2 linked regions of the Lytechinus pictus genome follow. The protein of the gene in region 1 purifies or fractionates together with the protein of each later gene. This does not show direct contact. Links are inferred from orthologs where the notes say so. Each region holds a gene or a part of one and is shown in the gene's direction. Other genes may lie near its edges.

Region 1 (9,798 bases):
ATCTCACTCTGTGGCTGAAAGTGGCTATAAAATGAAGGAGGATTGTCTTTTGCTACCTCCACTCATGCCACTTTATTGGCAGTCATTCCCAGTTCTCTGGTCTAATTCTGGGGTCCATAATTGCTGACACAATGTGCCTTTACTACATGTATGATTCAACTTGGAAGACATGGCTGCTGAAACCAATGACCATTTGGTATTTGTCTTCATGGACATGCTACCTACCACAAGTGAGTGTGTTCTGACTATAACCAACTATTCTTCCAAACGTGAATCTACAAAGCAGAAACACGCAATTCACAAGTTTGCTGAAGCCCTCCAATTTCAGTGGCAGAAGGCATTTTCTGAAGAACATGTACTGACTCTCAACCCAATCAAGAAAAGGCTGTATAGTGCAATACAAGCATACTCAAGTAAAGTTCTCAAAAAGGCAAGAAAGGAAAGGCGAATTCATCACCTCAGATGGAAAGCTGAAGTGTCAGGGTTATTTGACATTTTGAAGCCGACTTCTGATCCTGACAAGTTTGATCCTGATGAACGTGCCTTCTATTACGATAAAAAATTTGGTGCTAGAAAGATGGCACTGAGTGATCAGATCGATCTTGAGTATGATGTTGCTGGTGAACAGGAGCGAAGTGAAGCATTGGAGCATCGTCAGGCCGAAGAAGCAGAACTGGCTTTTATTGAAGATGGTGCAAGACTGCCTGCTGCTGCGATGGATGCCGATTATCAGGATGATCACATGTCTGTGTCAACTGACTTAAATACCTCATTTACAAGGGCAGGCTCAATTCGACAAACCGTGCCAAAAGTTGATGAAGCCACTCAGACTACTCTTGATGTCAACTCGGCTGTTCCAATTCGTACTGGAAAACGCAACTTTGACCCCAAAATTAAGTGCGCTCTGGCATCAGCAAGCAGCCAAGCCTCAATAAGTGTAGAACAAGCACGTCGATCATTTCAAGTGACCAGTGAAGTGTTTTTTTTCTTATCTGCAGATGAAGCTCTACAGAATGAATTGGGTGAGTAATACATTCAAGCCTGTAGGCTAAGTTGCATTCAGTTTACAAGGGAACAAAATACAATGTATAAATTGATCAAGATATAACATTTCTAAATGTCCAATCAGCCAACATATTCAGGATAATGTTAGCATAGATTACAGCATTGCATAATAATAAATCATGATAAAGAGAGAACGAGAAAGTGAATATGAAAAAGAAAAAAAATGTTTCTTGTACTAGTACAAAAGCTGTGTCCTTTTTTATTTTCAAACTGCAGGTCAAGCTACTAGCAAGTCTCCTAAGCGTCCTAGGAAAGCTGCAGAGTATGCAGCAACTTACCAGCATGTTCTGCCTTCAGCCCGTGTCCTTGCACGTGAGAAACACATGCAAGCAATACAGCAAGAACGTAATGCTGCACTGGCTATTCTTGATGCATCTGGTGAAGACAAAGTGACTATACACTATGATACTACAACACGGCGTAGGATTTCTGGAGAGTGGACATCCATAATTGTCCGACTAGCAAGTGGGAAACTCTTCAGAATGCGACCTTTGTCTATGGCTCTTGAAAATCGAGAAAATATCACAAGGTTAATGGTTGAAGTTATCAAGCGTCTCTCTCTTGCTACGTGCAACCAAGCCTCACAAGAGGATCTGTGGAAGAAGGTTTTTGCATTTATGACTGACTCAGTTGCCAAAAACCTACACATTGAGTCTCAAATAGCAGCATCTCTTAACAGTCAGCACATACCTCTACACTTGTTGTGTGTGAGCCACACATGTGAGGTATTTGATGCAGGCAATATCTCTACCCTTGTTCAGCATGAAGTCAAGTTAGGGCTTCGTGAAAAGCTAATTGCACACATGCCGACCCTGAAATCCTTCCTCAAGAAGAGTGTAATCATAGCAGCAATACAGGCACTGACAAAACTAGTAAGTAATGATGGACACAAGTCGTCCATGTGGGAGATCTTCGAGTGTGAGGTTGCATCTGCAGGCAAAACAAAGAAGCACAGCCTCTTTAAAGAACGCCGATTTGCTCAGATGGGATACACTGCTGCGGCCATTCTATATCACATCCCAGAGTATGAGGCAACATTGCAGAACACCAAATCCAACAACCTACTTGTTCAAGCCTGCCATCTGTACCTTGAGTGTGACTTCATCATGCTAGCATTGAAGGTATTGGCCTGGTTCACATACTGCATAACCCTCCCATTCCTTAATATGGTAGAAGTCAGCTCTCAGAATGATCTAGTGACCATCCTCCCACGTCTTCATGATGATCTGCTGAATAACAAGACAGATACGCTGTCTTCATACAAGGTACCATACTCTTTCCAAGTGGAAAAACCAGAGACAACTGTAGGCATGTATCTTCTGCAGCAAATGTGTCAGCAAGCTGCCAAAGATTTAGCCACTCAGAGAGGACGTGAGTATGGATTTCAGCAAACAGCAGAAACGGGTTTGGCAGAACCTAGAGCAACTGAACTCCACAAACTCACACCAGAAGATCTCACCAATCTACCTACAAACAATTTGCAGTGTGAGCGGGATCTGTCAAAGTTTGACAAACTCGCAAAACGGTCTGCAGCTGCTTCCAATAGAAACTTCACCGGCAAGGGTATTCGAGATGATATGACTTTGAACAAGGCTGGTGTAGTAACTGTGGAAAAAGTGACCCATAACATTGCAAAAGTGTTGGATAAGAGTGAACAGAAATGGGTGGAAGAGCAACATCCTCTCTCAGGAAAAGCTTCAGCGAAATGTGGCCCAAGCACAACAAGCAGTAGAGTATGTGCATAGGCTGTTACAGAAATGTAAAACATGGGGAGGTCCTTTAACAAATGTTGATGAGCTTCAGGAATGCCTGGATACCCAAGATCCCACCAAGCTTAAAACTATGTTACGTGCAGAGCTGTCATATCGCAGACACATCTCCCATCGAGATTACTTGGTGCGCCCACACTTGTATAAGGTCAACCAACTATGTGAAACACAAATGAAGGTGAACTTGACTCTTCTATTGACTGGAGGAGAGTCTGATAATCTCCCTGCCCCTGATCTTCCAACTGAAGATGACATGGTGAATGCATTCAATCTAAAGCCATCCAGTGGGATCACACAGCCAACTGCCCATTCCAACCTTGAAGAAAATACCGATAAAGAAGTGGGCATCAATGAGTTCTGTATTGTGATATGGGATTACAAAGATAAACGAAACTGGTACCTTGGTATGTGTCGAGACCAAAATAAAGACGGATATGAAATCGAGCACATGGAAAGAGTGAAAGGAAAAGATCAGCATGAGCAATGGAGATGGCCAAAGAAAGATGATGTACATACAGTACTGCCGATGCAGATCCTTCCATGTAATGTAATTGGCTCATGGGATACAACTTCCAGCAGAAACATGACATTTGTGCTTGACAATTGGCATATTGTAGAAGGCTTATTCAAGTCATTTTACAATTAAATATGTACACCCACAGTGGACCTGTATGTACTCTCTGACTAGAGGTCTAATGACCAAAATCTTATTAATTGGTACTTTTAAGCAGATACAGTATTACTATTGGCTCCACAGTTACCATGCCTGTCGACTCGAAATTCACCAGCCACATACAGGTTTTCTGCTTGACACATACATGTATGTAAGTTATTTGTATACTTCTTGCTGTATTGTTTAAAATACAAAAAAAAAAACACCTTTAATAGCTAGAATTCATTATTAAGAATATCATAGCTAGCATGACTTGAAGAAAATACAGAAAAAAGTACAATTGCTGTTGGGGTAGGGGTGAAGGAGAATGAAAATTTAACATTAAATATGGGGAAAAGGTGAGTATAATGTAGAAGATTAGGTTTAACACCAAAAATATCATTATATTCAATTTCTTTGACCCCTAAAACATGGGGTTAGACACCAAAATTATTACAATAGACAAAAAAATGACCGAGTAACAGCCAAAATTGTCTCTTTTTAGCCAAAACGGCGGCCATCTTGGATTTTTTACGTTTTCGGTCAGGGCACCCCGGATTTCACATTTTTTTAATTTTTTTTTTCAAAAATGGTGTCAGCAGGCACAAACTCATCAAACTAGGGTGTGATGAGCATGTTCTGAAAATGTGACCTAATATTGACCCTCTATAGCCCACCTCTAATAGCATTAGTGATCTCGACATTCAAATGCTCATAACTCTTTTATTGCTAGTCCTATTTTACTCAAAGTTTTGTTGATCTTATTCTTTGATTTTTCTGCTTTCACAAAAGCTAACTTGCTCCAAGAGTTTCATTCTCCTTTAACCGATCATGCTCATCCCTGCAAAATCTTGTGAATTGTGAGACTTTCTTTCTCCAGGAATTTCAAGGCCAAATAATTATTATAATCACGTATTAAATTTTAGTATTAGTGGATCTATAATAAATTGTTCTTCAAAACGGCATTTTGTAACATCGCTAATCAAAGGTACGTCATACATGTCATAACGATGCGGTTCGATCAAGTGACAATTAAGGGTCAGACCTATTGTATTTGCTTTGTTGACAAACGGATCGAGGGATCTACACGAGATCGGTCTGACGTCTGGTAAGAAATCTTCAATTTTTAACCTTTTTATTAACCAATTTTTGAAACCTTCATACGCATTAGGCGTATGAAGGTGTAAAACTAAAATTTGCCAATAAGGCAATAATTTAAAATTTTAAAGAAAATCACGGCAGCCAAAATCACAAAGTGACAAACATTTATTTAGCCTAGGCCTACGTGATTTTTATCTTAGATGGATTTCCTAGGCCTTAGGGAAATCCATCATTGTTTTGATGAGTCTCTTATACATATATGGCAGGCGGTTCATCAAGGCTCCATGATGAAGTATATGTCAAAATATTAATAAATATCATCATGGAGATCAAGGCTAGTCCACGCCGCGCCTCCTGTATAGGCTGTACACCCAACAGCAGGAACTATGAATGGGACCTACATGTCGGTTTACGCAGCGTGGCCGCTTGCGACTGTCACTGACAGTGACACTGCACTGGGCAAGCCAACCAATGTTAGCTTTTGTTACGTACCTAAAATTGACTCCGAAAATATATCTCGCATGAAACTTCTACCATTGTAGACCTGTTTAATAGGCTTCCTTGTAGACGGTTTCTCAACATTTTCTGGAGAGCTCTCTTTTGTGGAACTGACTTTTTGTTTGGCTGATTCTGAACTTTCGTTGCTCCGGATTGACGCCATTTTGAACAGCTCCCTCTTCGCTCGCGAGCTGAGCGAGCGCGAGGCGCGGGTATTATGTGTGTATAACAGCGCAATACAGCATACCAGATTCAGACGGAAATGAGGCTAGATTAAACTGGATATTTTGACTTCAAGTTCTGTTCTGGTAAGGTTATTTCTGTATATTATGTATTAAAGCGAGATAACGCAGGCGTAACGTTTGGTACCGTACCGGTATATAAATTTCAGAATATAAACTTCCAATCAAATTAATATGAGTTTGTTGTCGCCTGTCGTCGAGTTTTTTTAATGTTGCCGAGTTCATGATCCATGTGATGAGGCCGATGTGCTAAGCGTAGGACTAGGTATGATGGTGGGCCCTTAGTCTGCGCACCTAACAATTTGAGTTAAGATTTAACATGAATTTCTTCTTATTTCACAAAATCTTTTGGATAATAATGTTCCTTATATTATTGAGAGTAAGTATACCAAATTTCTCATTAAAAAATAAAAGAAAATATAGGATTTTCTTGAAAAAACCTTGGGCAGTCATTTTCAGATTGAAAAAAAAAATGGTACCGGTACCCCATGTCTGCGCACTCATTCACTTTGCACACGATTCAGAGATTTTGATGAGAAAGGCTGTATTTTGAGGCCGTCACATGAAATGCCCTGAATTCATTATTTTTTCACCATTTTGAGTCGGATTTTTTTATGAATACCTGTCTATGTATTGCATGTGTAAAGTTCGTGCTCGTTGCGTATCTTCTTTTACTAGAATCGCGCAGATACGCGGGTGCGCAGACTTGGGAGACCGCACAGACATGGGGGAACTGACCATACATGTAGATATGTAGGCCTACATAGTACAGGTCTAACACAGTTGAGTTAGGTCGACTGTGAGTGTGAATGTGATGAGAAGTGATTGTGATTGACGACTTAGCTGAGCTGAGCTACATGTAGCAGACTGCAGAGATCTGTTATTATACTACTAGGGTGAGTGACTGGGCTGTTTAACTTAAGTTAGATCTTATTCTTGGTTTAGATTCTGACTTCAATTCAAATCCAGTAATGCAGTACCGTAAGTAACGGTGTATTAACCGCACCTTTTTCTCGGCGGGACAGAATCAAAAGTCGGGGGTGCGGTTTATACACGGTGACAGGTCTGAGCCAAGCCAATCTCAGCCCGATACCACTACCAGTTTTCAACTCGCGTCGGGTGGCCGAGCGTAGCCGCTTGGGGCAATCCCGTTTAGAGGGGTATGAGCCGCGGGTATAAAAGGGAAGCAACTATGACTACCGGTATCTGCCGTAAATGTCCCTCAAAGTTATATCACGGTAACAAACGCACCTACCTTCATGAAACTGACTTTTTTTAATGGTGTGACTCTGTCTTTGTTGTCATTTTTTAGTCATCGCGGCAAAGTTCAGACGCCAATCGATCGCACAGCGCGGTGCAGCTAGCCGAATAAGACATGCATGTGTAATGTTTATCGCAACGTCAACGTAAGCTGGCGCTTTACCTTTCCGTGGAAGTTATTTTGTTTGACAAATTATTGGTATTATTTGACAATTAATTTCTTTCATTTGCCTTTCCTTCATTTCTCTCTATCATCCATCATCTCAAAATCAATCTTCAATCCCCATCTTTACTCCTTCCGACTTTTTATTTTTAATTATCATTCACTTTATTCCTGCCCAGAGCTCCCATTGAAAATACGGTATACCGGTAGCCTACTAGCATTTTTTCCCCCTATTTTGCTGTCTGTAAGATACCGCCACACACGTACTGAGAACTACCGGTAGTGGTTCAAAGCAGACAAGAAAAACACCTGAACAAAATCGCAAATTTCATGTATCTTGAACCTTCCCGTATTCCCTTGTCTAAAATTCATGTCAAGACATTGAATGCTAGACAGAATTCTGAAAGCAAAAGTGGGGCTGTGATGCAGGAAATATGATATGAACGATCTTCTCGTATGGGTCCTACATGTCGGTTTACGCAGCGTGGCCGCTTGCGACTGTCACTGACAGTGACACTGGGCAAGCCAACCAATGTTAGCTTTTGTTACATACCTAAAATTGACTCCGAAAATATATCTTGCATGAAACTTCTACCATTGTAGACCTGTTTAATAGGCTTCCTTGTAGACGGTTTCTCAACATTTTCTGGAGAGCTCTCTTTTGTGGAACTGACTTTTTGTTTGGCTGATTCTGAACTTTCGTTGCTCCGGATTGACGCCATTTTGAACAGCTCCCTCTTCGCTCGCGAGCTGAGCGAGGCGCGGGTATTATGTGTGTATAACAGCGCAATACAGCATACCAGATTCAGACGGAAATGAGGCTAGATTAAACTGGATATTTTGACTTCAAGTTCTGTTCTGGTAAGGTTATTTCTGTATATTATGTATTAAAGCGAGATAACGCAGGCGTAACGTTTGGTACCGTACCGGTATATAAATTTCAGAATATAAACTTCCAATCAAATTAATATGAGTTTGTTGTCGCCTGTCGTCGAGTTTTTTTAATGTTGCCGAGTTCATGATCCATGTGATGAGGCCGATGTGCTAAGAATTCTGAAAGCAAAAGTGGGGCTGTGATGCAGGAAATATGATATGAACGAGCGGCGGCGGCGGCGTCAACATAAAATCTTAACCTAAGGTTAAGTTTTTGAAATGACATCATAACTTAGAAAGTATATGGACCTAGTTCATGAAACTTGGACATAAGGTTAATCAAGTATTAATGAACATCCTGCCCGAGTTTCAGGTCACATGACCAAGGTCATTTAGGGTCAATGAACTTAGACCATGTTGGGAAAATTATTTTCAAAATCTTAACCGAAGGTTAAGTTTTTGAAATGACATAACTTAGAAAGTATATGGACCTAGTTCATGAAACTTGGGCATAAGGATAATCAAGTATTAGTGAAAATCCTGGTCGAGTTTCAGGTCACGTGACCAAGGTCAAAGGTCATTTAGGGTCAATGAACTTTGGTCAAGTTGGGGGTATTTGTTGAATTACCATCATAACTTTGAAAATTTATGGATTTAGTTCATGAAACTTAGACATTAGGTTAATCAAGTACCACTGAATATCCTGTGCGAGTTTCAGGTCACATGACCAGGTCATAGGTCATTTAGGGTCAATGAACTTTGGCCAAGTTGGGGGTATTTGTTGAATTACCATCATAACTTTGAAAATTTATGGATTTAGTTCATGAAACTTGGACATTAGGTTAATCAAGTACCACTGAATATCCTGTGCGAATTTCAGGTCACATGACCATGGTCAATGGTCATTTAAGGTCAATGAACTTTGGCCGTGTTGGGGGTATATGTTAAATTACCATCCTAGCTCTGAAAGTTTATGGATCTAGTTCATAAAACTTGGACATAAGAGTAATCAAGTATCACTGAACATCCTGTACGAGTTTCAGGTCACATGACCTTGGTCAAAGGTCATTAAAGGTCAATGAACTTTGGCCGTGTTGGGGGTATTTGTTGAATTACCATCCTAACTGTGAAAGTTTATGGATCTAGTTCATAAAACTTGGGATATAAGAGTAATCAAGCATCACTGAACATCCCCTGTGAGTTTCAGGTCACAAAACCAAGTCAAAGGTCAGTTAAGGTCAATAAACTTAGGCCATGTTGGGGTAATTGTTGAAGTGCCATCATAACTTTGAAAGTTTATGGATAGAGTGAATGAAATGTGGACATGGGTGTAGTTGACAGTCTTAAGTCTCCGTTCAAATGTCATTTATGGTCAATGAACGTGGTATTATGTCATTATATGAATGATGTTTTTGTGAATGATTATTTTATAGTAGTTTTCAAAGTTAGCACTGCTGCTATATTAAATCGCGTAATGCAGGCGAGACTGCCAGAGGCGTTCCACTTGTTATTGTTTGAAAACAAAGTGCGTAGCTTTAGGTCCCCCATCATATAAGAGACACTTGTAAACAAAGATGGATTTCCCTAGGAAATCCATCTTTTATTGTTTTAATATAAAAATCACGTAAATTGTTGTGATTTTATTAATCTCTAGGCCTACAGTGTACACTTTTACTTGCCCTGGGCAATCGGGCAAGTGCTTATGTAGCACCCGGCACACACACAATAAACAAATGCCTTGGGCTTCTGAGTAGCCTGGAGGCTTCTGGGGAGTAAAAGATACGTAGGCTTACTCCCAATGAAGCCTGGCTTCGCGATGCCAAAGGCTCACACACACCGATGAATCGGGCAACAATAATAATGCGCCAAACTGTTAGTTATGTTTAGAATGTGATGTTAACACTTATGTCGATGGGCAATAATGTTGGTTGGCAACGTTTGGCAAAAATATTGTTATAGAATAACGCTAAAATGACATGAAATTATTAAAAGTAGAAGAGCGTCGTCAGGGACTCGGTTTTATAATTATAAGGGGAGCAATAAAAAGCTCTCCTAGAACTTTTAAGGAGAGCGGTAGAGGAGCACTTCAAAAAGCTCTTCTTCAACATACAAGGGGAGCTTTTTGCCCAATTAACAAAATGGATGGAGGAAATATATGTACTATAAAATTACAAT
Region 2 (10,899 bases), on another chromosome or scaffold:
TGGCTATCTAATTAAACTTTTAATGCGAGCGCGTAGCGCAAGCTGAATTTTTTTTTATTTATGAAAATTATGAGTAGGCAGGAAGTATATCTCGCTAAAACGAATAATGAAAACTCTAATCGCGAGAAGCATATTGACTTGAAAGTTTGATTTTAATAAGCCCCATTTCAACAGATAATTTACTTATCTCAGTCAAAAGCTACTGCGAGCGTGTATAGCGCGGGCGACATTTTGAATTTTGTATAATGACCTGAAAGATTTAGTGACATTATTGGGAGCTAACAGTGAATTGATGAGAAAATTTTCAAAATTTAAGGAACGAAAAAGCTGTTTTGGAGCACTTTACAGCTTTAGTAGGATGTTTATGACAACATTTACCATACATATTTTTATTTTTCAAAATTTCGGGGGTGGGGCCAACTCACTGGGGGCAAATGCCTTCCGTGCCTCCCTGGTGCCGCCACTGGTCTGGGCGGAGCCACCGGAACCCCGGGATATTTTTAAACATTGCAGATGGCCACTGATAATCAAATCGCGGGTACATACACAACACATATTAACTTCAACGCAGCTGGGGACAATAAACAAAATATTTTGAGGCAGCACAACATAGAAAAATGTGGATACATTTGTAAAAGTCGCCAGCGAGCGAAGCGAGCCAGAAAAAATTGGCTTTTAAAAATGATTAAATTCTACTCATTTGATAGTAGCTTTGGAAATTTAGCCTAAGTAAACAGGCTTTTCACGGTAAATCTAGCCAGCGCAAAGCTTTACTTATGTTTAGGACATAAAATCGGGGGATAACCAGCCCTTATATTGGCTAAACCTACTTTAATTGGCTAAGGATTTTTCACGGGATTGTTTGTCCTTATTGTGACCATTAGCAAGCTTATAGTTTAGTGTACTCCAACGATGTTGTAGGACTAACCATGTTCATCGATCAAAGTAGAATGTCTATTGCTGCTCTCCTTCAGACAAAATTAGATGCGCTACTGATGTTGGCAGGGAGGGGTGGCGGGGGTATCGTAGCCAGCACAAAATTCCATGAAAACACACGAGAATCGAAAATCACTCAAAATCATAGGCAATCTTCTCCCAATGCTTATCCAGTCTATTCTTAAATGCAATCACTGAACAAGCAGTAACTACATCTTCTGGGAGATGATTGTTCCACACATCTATCATTCGGTTAGCAAAGAAAAACTTACGCACATCAAGACCTTTTCTCTAGCTTTAAGGAATGACCACGTGTTTTACCACCATTTCTCAGACAGAAAAGCTCAGAACTTCTATCATAGTAACCATGCAGATATTTGTACACGTCAATCATGTCACCTCTTTTATGTCTGTCTGTGACTGAGTGATGGCAATTTCAGGAGGCGAAGACGTTCAGAGTATGATAGGTGCTTAATACCTGGGATGATCCCGACCTTTCGTTGGAAGAACGCTAACGCTTATTTACGACGTTAGTTGATTTTGGAATTGACTTTTGGGCCCGTCGTCATGGTCTTAAAACTCTGTCCTGCAATGCAAATTGTGCGACATGAGATTTTTTTTTTCGTTTCGCATCTGGAACGGAAACATTCAATTTGCGTTTCGTGTACAAAATTCTGGTTGCTACTATGGTAACAGCGATATATCCGATTTAGGACGACTTTCCAAATCCACATTTGGTTCCTCCCAGAGCTCGAAAGGCCGCCCGGGGGGCCCACTTTCATTGAAGAGTGGATACCAGGCGCAACAACGCGTGACAAGGGAAAGAGTGGGTAAGTACGTTACGTATATAGGCCTATGTAACGTTATAAAGGTGTCAAAAACGATGATTAAAATACTGATAAAAGGGATATATTTCCAATACTTGTAGGGTTTCACAAGCCAAATAATTGTTAAAAGATGCATTTTCATAATCTGGAAAAGACTTGCTTCCCTTGTTTAGGGTACTTTTCGAAACCCCATGGTCGTGCCTGGTATCCACTCATCAATGGAAGTGGTCCCCCCGGAATTTGAATCTAACCCCCCATTTCAGGGGAAAGTAAAACATAATACCCTTTACATCGTGTGCTAGAGGCGTATCGTTTGTGTAGAAGGAGTGAACAAAAGAAACAAAAGAAACCCGCATGTTCAAACGTATTGCATACGCTGTGTACATATGCGAAATGGGTTCGGCTGGAGAGGTGATCTGACCCATGGAATCAATTGCCAGTCATCCACCAATAATCCACATTAAATGCAATATCGTTTCCATGGACTGTAATGATCTACATCTAAGCCTTAATTTAGTAAGTTTTTCCTCACTTAATATGTACTCGATTTGTTTGAAACACCACTTTCTTATACATGTCATATTCTATTTTAGGTCCTGCATTTCGAATATCTCCAGCCATCAGTCGTAATACATGCATGTATGGCGCGCGGGTGTCGCGGGAAAGAATTTTGCACACGAAAAGCAGATCTGTAGGGCCTGTAACCCCCCCTGTAAAACAAATCTTAGCATTGATTGTAGAGCAGTTTTCTACGTTTGATTCTATTGACTATAATGCAGGGGCCGCGGAACCGGGGGGGGGGGGGGGCTTCAGCCAGAGGCGTCGATCATGGGGGGGGGGGCAGGGGGGGCAACCGCCCCACCAATGAAAATATTGGGGGGCAAACATATCGTTTTGCCCCCCCAATAATTCCGCATGTGCAAAAAATAAAATAAGATTGTAATGTTACACAGAAATCAGCAAGCGAGATTGAAATACACAACTCGTTCTTCATCTAAAGTCGTGCTAAAAATGTCCGGTTTTCAGATTAGAATATAAAAAAATTTCAGCTCGCGCTTCGCGCTCGCATCATTTCTGTAGCAAAAACCCATACTTTTCATGATTGAATAGGTGAATAGAATGTCCCGTTTTCAGTTCTATACCTCAAAAGAACTCCCACTTCGATTTGCAATAATCTTTTGTTGGATTTATTTCTTGTTCTTTATTAAAAACGTCAATTAAACTCTTGTTTTTTAAGATCAAAATATCAAAATTTTCAGCTCGCGCTTCGCGCTCGCATCTATTATTTTTTAATTTTTTTTACATTTAATTTGTTGGTGAGATGTGTGTGTGTGTGTGTGTATATATATATATATATATATATATATGTATATATATATATAATCTATATATATATATACATATAGGCATATGTGTGTGTGTGTTTGAGTCTGTTTTGTGTGATCGAGCGCCTTTGGAATGTTGATTCATGATTTTGCCCCCCCAATCTGAAAAATGGATCGACGCCTCTGGCTTCAGCCCCCCACTTTTTTTCCAAAACCGTGTACAAAAACGTAAAAATGACCATATGATTGTGATTTTTTAGCATGGTCAGCCCCCCCCCACTTTTGGCTCAGCCCCCCCCCCCACTTTGAAAACCGTTCCGCAGCCCCTGTAATGTACAATCAATCTTAAAAATCAAGTGTATGATTAAGCGTCAACTTTTGTGTTAGGGGACCCTAATATTAGCGTCCGTGAGCCGTGAGGATTGCGAAAGGTGGCAAATAATAGACGCCATCCCACCTTTCTTCCCGTTCTTTATATTTTTCTATCCTCGGCAACCCGGTCTTGTTATTAAGTTATTCTCTTTTTTTCTCGTCCCTTTTCTCTATATTTTGATTTTCCAATTAAGCTTTTGGTTCTACCTTCATTTCCGTTTCTTTCTGCCTCTTTCTCCAATTTTCCCGCCATTCTTGTCCGTGCCATTGAGTCATATCTTTTGATTTCATATCCCTCTCTTGGTATCATGCTATAGTGTATTAGTATTTCAGGATATTTGTACTTCCTCACGTGTTCTCCTTTCCTTTTCCCGCTTTCCTTCCATTTTCCCTCTTTATGTTCTTTCTTTCCCTTTCTTTTCATTTTTTTCCCTTTCTTTTTCACCTTTCCTCTTTTTCTGTCTTTCCTTCCCTTTCCCTTTCCCTTTCTCTCTTTCCCGGTTTTTTTTATTTTCCCGGTGAAATCCGCCGCCCCCCGCCTGTTAATTACGCCACTGTACTGAAGTAGGGGACACGCGTCCCCTTGCCCCCTATGGGATTTTCGCCCATGGAAGATGATGAGGAGGAGGAGTAGGAGAGTGATGATGGTGATAACGTTGGTGGTGATAGTGATGAGGATGATGATGATGAACACGACGAATTGATTGATTGATTGAAATATCACAGGAGATTACAATTAAATTGAAGAATACCTTGACAGGATAGCCCATGAAAGCCGAAAGGCTTATTTCCAATGGGGTCCTATAGTTAGTATAAAACATTAACATATTGTAACAAAACGTATAAACTACGACAAGTACTGGAATATGGATAAAAAAATGATAAAATACATACATATCCATCAGTCAAATAATATGCAAACATCTGAAGCAAACAACAATCTTCCTAATATATGAAACAAGATTATATTTTAACTTAACCTACATTATCTACAATACTAGAAACCAACTGTACAAAATGTGTGATTTTTACTGGTAATATACTGCTCTCGAGTAGCTTCCAGTTATGTTTATGTCATGATCTCATGGAGGTAACTCATCATGACGATGATAGGTAAGGTAGGCCTACGTGGTGTACTCATGAACATTGAATATGATGACGGCCATGTCGACAATATTCATGGCGACGAGTCCCGCGACCAGGGGCGGAAATCTCTCCCAAAAGGTAGGGGGACACAAGGGCGGATCCAGCCTTCGCCAATGGGGGGGGGGGGGGGGGGGGGGCGGGGGGCGCGCGGACATTTGTTTCAGCCATATTTTCCCCGATCGGCAGCGGAAAATTTCGAGATTTAGTCCTATAATATTTACTGAACGAGACACTCTATTCATGTTTTGTAAATCATGAAAAGGATGAGTATTAATAATGCGAGCAGAAAATTTTTATATACGTTTTGAACTGGTACCTGTTGAAAAGACTGCTTGCACTAAGCCATGAAGGCGTTACATATTTCAACAATCAAAAAGTGCGAGCGCGAAGCGCGAGCTGAAAATTTTTGAAAATTTCTAAAGAAAGAATGGAAAATTTTAATCAATTTTCGGAATCGTGAACAGGATAGCTATATAATTCAACAATTGATGCGAGCAGAAAAAAAATCGAGATTTAGACCTAAAAATGGGCCACTCTGTTCATGTTTTGTAAACAGCCATAGGCTGATCGAGGGCTTTTTAACGTGTTTAAATAAAATAAATCAATCAAAATCAATGTTTTGTAAATCATGAAAAGGATGAGTAATATAAGGGGGTCTTCCTACATTAATAATGCGAGCACAAAGCGCAAGCAGAAAAATTTTGATATTGTGATCTGAAACTGGATAATGATTTAAATAGAGAACAAGTGGAGTATTTGAATAAACATGCGCGCGCGTGTTTCATAATTTAGAACAAGAATCTAGGCATTCTAAATACATCTTTAATCATGAAAATCATGAAACATTGATATTCCGATCTGAAAAAAAAGTCAATTACAGCTTTATATTTCAAGCACTTTGTAGGAAAATTGTAAAGTGGAAATGGATCACACTTAAAAAAAAGAGCTAAAATTTTCATTATTTTTACTTTGAGTTTTGACATAGGACCGGGACAGCCTTATACGACATGTCATGAAAATGATGACTATCTTCCTATTCCTCTTGCTTAGCGCGAGATGAAACAAAAGGGACAATTTAATTATTAAATTAATATCATATTTATTGATGCCTAATGAGGGCGAGAAATCTGATGATATTATGGCATAAAAACTGGACATTTCACTTTTGTAATTATGAATAGGATGCATCAGTTAATATATTTTTAACCATTAATGCGAGCGCAAATCGCGAGCTAAAATTTTGATAAACTGAAGCAGCGAATGTTGATAACATTATTCAGACCATAAAACTGACATTTTTACAGAGCACCTTTTAAAAATCAATTTGTAAATCACACAAAATAATGAAAGTTCGATTTCCGAGGTGAAATATGTTTTGTATATTGACTTCCAAACTTGATAGTTGAGCTCCATATTAAACAAGATATGTCAATCACCTAACAGGCAATGCGAGAGCGAAGCGCGAGCGAAAATTTTATATAGTGGCACGAAAGATTCTTTTTATTTTCCAAGTCTTCCCCTCATTTTATTTTATGCACTCGTCGTCCTTCTCTTCTTTTTCTCCTCTCTTTTCCCTCCTTTTTTCCCTTTTCCTTCTTTCTTTCCCTTTTTTTCCCTTTTTTTTTCTCCGCCAATAGGGGGGGGGGGGCCTCGGCCCCCTGGATCAGCCTATGGGGACAAGGGGCGGGAAAATTTGACTAGCAAAAAAAAGGTTATCATCCCAAAAGTACTATCATCTCGTCCCAACTCGTCCCAAAATACATGTTTTATTGATCGATTTAGAATGATGTATTTCTTACTATCATAAAAGACAAAAATAGTAGGGGGGACATTTGATATTGTGTCCCCCCTACTATTTTGAGTAGGGGGGACACGTCCCCCCTGTCCCCCCTGGGATTTCCGCCCATGCCCGCGACGAGTGAAGATGCATGATCAGGATTGTGATGACATATGCTGATTTGGCTGGTGACGATTGTTGTCTAAGGTGGAGTTGCTCAGCTGGCTGGGTGCATCTTTGTGGCGGGTATCCCCGGGTATCTAGACCTATACGCCTTACGGAGACACCAATGATCGTAGAATTATGGTAATGGTACAGGGGTTAATCGATCTTTAATTCTGACTCGATCATTCTTTGATTCAGAAGGTAATTATTTCCCCCATTCCTTCCTTCCCTACTCCCCCCCGGCCCCTCAACCAGAAATCAAACCGGATGCGATGCGCGCCATCTACGTTCACACAATTACAGCGGCAGCGGAAAATCAAAATTTGATTTGAAGACTTTGTCTGAAGTGAAATAAAATGGATATTTTTGTCAAGTTTGTTTCGCAGAAAGTTGGAAAAGTCAGATGGCAGCCTTCTTCATTCAAAGGAATTCAATTCTCCGATACATTTTTAACCGGAAGTTGGGATGATGAGGTACGTGTTTTATAGCTCCTTGACGATAGATCACGAATGAAAACTTGTGAAATTCAATTGAGCTGTAACTTAGTGTGTACGGTTCAGATGCTTATTTCCGTTGCGTATGTACGCGAGACCGCTTTCGGTTGGGAGCGCCCGTCTTGCCCCCAAAAAAGAAATAATTTGCAAGTTAACTTTTGGCAATAAAGTCATTCATATGTACTCTAATTACTGGCGAATTTGCAAACTACCAATACTATGACATGATTAACGTTCATCATGTTCATAATTGTGGGCATGAAAAATTGATGATTAAAAAAACATTTATTTTATGGGTATGATAACCATGAAATATGAATTGAAAAGACAATTTTTTGGGGGTGGCCTTTTTTTTTTAGCCTGCCTTTTGGGCACTTAAGCTTTGCAGATTTAAGTTGGAGTTGGACTTCACGATCAGATTTTTCACAAGGCCAAGGGGTACCACAATAATACCTCAAAACACCCCAAATAAAAAAAAAAGAAAGATAGCAAATCATGCAGAAATGCACCCACCTCGGCTCAATCCTATAGGCTATAAGTACTATAATGATGTTTGTCCGCACAGACTCCCTATCCTCAATAAGTACTACTACTAGGCCTAGTACTAGTATTCGGCAACATGATCCTCAAAATAATAGTTGGGCTTCTTTTCTCCCATTCAAAATTGCACACAATGCACTAGACAGGAATAACCGTCGTTTCTGGGGATTTATTCAACAATTTCTGACATTTTACTGTAATCCCCATTTACCGACGGTAGGGTGTACGTGTGGGCTCGCATGTGTTCTCATTCCCTCCCTTTTGTCAATTCACAGTCCAAAGTTTGATGTAATTTTACACATCGAATTTACAATCTAAGGATGTATAACCAACAAACTTTTAAAACTTGATATTCCATTATCAAAATACTTTAAACGATATAGATGAAAAGGCATGAAAATTATACTTTACCGATGTTTAATTGGGTTGAACACGATAAAAATGGTCAAAATGGCAGCCAAACTATGAAATATTTACAAACGAACGGAGAGGGCGTCAACAATCACGAATATGATATCGATATTGCTTTCGATATTATACGATCTGCTCCATACGCGAGCGTACCGAAACACCGTTACCATCACAGGTAGCAGACGACATTCGATATATCGAGACATTAAAAAGTTAATAACAATAATGAAGTCATTCAAGATGGCAACTTGCAAGAAAAACCCTCAGCTCAGGTGAAAATGTCTTAGATGAAAGATTTCTCAATCATCCAGAGGATTTTTTTCAATAACTTCTGTCCAAGGTACGCAATTACTTAAGTTATTTATATTTCCCTGATAATTGAAACCATGAAACTGTAAATTTCGCTTAAAAACAGTTTAAAATCGCGACCTATAAAACGTTAGTTCACTTAATACGTTGGCTGTACGTACGGGCCTCCAAGCTCTTCAGTCTATGTATTGGTGAGTGGAGCCAACGTAGTTCAGCGGAACAACCAAAATACAGAGACTGAAGCTTTTGGTCTAACAATGCACAAGATGACGGACTATCGATGGGCGCATGCGCAAATTCTAACTGAAGTTGAAATTATTTAAAAGATCTGCCCACAGCAGCTCACCCATTTTTTTGCATGATTTCAGTCAATGTGACTTTAGTCTGGATATAATCAAAATTAAGGCGAATCCAAGTAATTTTGATGTAAACTGAAGTTAGCGACTAAAATCATGTGAACAAACAGTTGAGCTGCTGTGGGCAGATCTTTTCATCGCTAACTTGAGCTAGAATTCGTGTATGCTCCCATCGGGACTGGTCTGCCGTTTTGTGTGCAATTTTGAACGGGAGAGAGTGGACGCCGAGCTATTTTCTCTTTTTTCTTATCATGATATACTGTAATAAATATAACCTTTGATGTTGGATGATTGGTTTCAAATCGTCAGAAATAATCTTAGGTCTCCTATGGCCATGCCATGCAATCTTGTCTATTGTGTAAACTTTGAGAATAATTCTTTCATTTTCATCTTACAAAAAAAAAATCTGCAGGAGAATAAGATCTCACTTTGGAAGGTTCCAGGTGTCCAGAACAAAGCAGGGGCTGCAGGAGCCTGGCAACAAGACTATCCACAGCAGAGGACCACAGCCTTAGAAGGACAAGCAGGAGAAGAAGAACAGGAGCCTGTATTGCTCTGTCAGATGAAACATGATGGGGATGTCACAGATATACAGGTATAAGTTTTCTATAATTGATTGATTCATTCCTATTTTGTTTTGGATTTATCTAAGATTTAATATTGCTTCATGAAGTTCAATGAAACAAAAAATGTGAAATTAAGTTGGCATTAAAAGTTGACCATCCGTAAGACATGTATTTCACGTAGTTGAAGTTTTTTAAAAAAAAATCAGATTATGCAAGATATGTGTGAGTGCCTCCTCAAACATGAAACTCTCCTTGTTAGAGTTTTAAGCTCCTGCAAAACCTGACTTTTGTTCATGTCTATGTATGTAGGCAGGGTGACCAGAACAATAAATCACATACATGTACATGTACCATGATAAAATTTAATTATCTATTCTTGGCCTTGGGTCATGAATTCCTATGTTCATTCATATTTAATTGGTTCGCTACATGATCATAATTATAAGTAAGCACTAGATAACTGTGATTTATGCTGCATTTCGATAAATTTTTGCTAAGGCTCTTGGAGGCCCATGCTTTGCAATCAATGGTATTACCGTACTTCTCTTTTTTTTTACCCCCCTTAATCAATTTTCCCCTCTATTTTGAAATGTTACACTCGATGATCTTCCAAGAACTTTGATTTGCTGGAATTTTATAACCAATCCTGCAGTTATTTTTGAATTGCTTCATTATTTCATTTTCCAAAAAGGAATTTAGACATCTTGATGTTTTCATATTCTGATTTGTTCTACACTTATTCACTTGAACACTTTATCAATCTTGTAGCATGTCATTCTTAGGTCCATTCAGGGTAAATGTGCAAATAATTGGCATTCTTGTATTCTATTTTCATTCCTGTAGTTTGTCAACCAAGATGTTTTCTTAGCTTCTTCATCATGCGGAAGTGTTCAAGCGTTCAGGTGCAACAAAGCTAAAGGGGTAAGTCTGGGCATGGAAATACTATTAAACTATTTTGTGTAATTGCCACTTTGTCTATTTGCAAGTTTGGCTGTGCATTTATTGTCTTATTTCCACTTGGTATAATGAATGATAAGGTAAAATAATCATAAAAAATTCACCTCCTCTACCTCTTCAGGACTTTGCGCCCTCTCAGAAATGGTCCGGCATTCATCACCACCCTGCCGACACCTGTTCCTGTACCTGCATAGCCGTCAATGGAACGGACATCTCCACCTGCGGAGAGGACGGAAGGATTAACGTCCTGCGGCTGGAGCACAGACAACCGATAAGAACCATTGGTGAGCAGGGGCAGATCCAGGATTTTTCGAAAGGGGGGGGGGCACATTTTCTTGAGGAAAAATTTGACAAGCAAAAAAAAAAGAAGAAAAAAAGGGTTTTAACCAAAAGTTAAGGGTATTTTGTCCACGAAAAAAATTTGAAGAAGTTGTTTTTTGGAGGAATAAAATCAGACAAGAACACAGGTGTAAACAGACAATGTCATACCAATCAATTGAGGGGGAAGACAATAGTTCATACCCCCCTTCCTATGATCAATAGGTTCACTGCTTGAATTTACGCCGGTGGACAAGAAGATGGATGAAAATTTGAATATTAGCAGACAAACAATAAGAAAATTCTTTTTTAAAGAAGAATGAAAACCCTGGAGCAAGTTAGCTTGTTTGAAAGCAGAAAATAAATGAATAAGATCAGTGGAAGTTGGCAATAAGAAATT

The links. Proteins that work in one complex are often made in the same cells at the same time.
Region 2: the proteins of nuclear pore complex protein Nup98-Nup96-like (region 1) and nucleoporin Nup43-like purify together in Homo sapiens (affinity purification with mass spectrometry; 4 studies listed by BioGRID and IntAct, counting the BioPlex papers as one, with this or other methods). This does not show direct contact. The link is inferred for Lytechinus pictus from reciprocal best matches to the Homo sapiens genes NUP98 and NUP43.

What each region holds. Positions count from the first base shown.
Region 1 is NC_087249.1:39,825,875-39,835,672, reverse strand, and holds the start of nuclear pore complex protein Nup98-Nup96-like, read left to right. Parts: upstream 1-5,308; 5' UTR 5,309-5,393; intron 5,394-5,555; exon of another isoform or gene 5,556-5,706; intron 5,707-7,522; exon of another isoform or gene 7,523-7,611; intron 7,612-9,798. UniProt on the Homo sapiens protein: Plays a role in the nuclear pore complex (NPC) assembly and/or maintenance. NUP98 and NUP96 are involved in the bidirectional transport across the NPC. May anchor NUP153 and TPR to the NPC.
Region 2 is NC_087258.1:19,776,609-19,787,507, forward strand, and holds the start of nucleoporin Nup43-like, read left to right. Parts: upstream 1-6,829; 5' UTR 6,830-6,904; coding exon 6,905-7,021; intron 7,022-9,070; coding exon 9,071-9,253; intron 9,254-10,067; coding exon 10,068-10,145; intron 10,146-10,302; coding exon 10,303-10,465; intron 10,466-10,899. UniProt on the Homo sapiens protein: Component of the Nup107-160 subcomplex of the nuclear pore complex (NPC). The Nup107-160 subcomplex is required for the assembly of a functional NPC.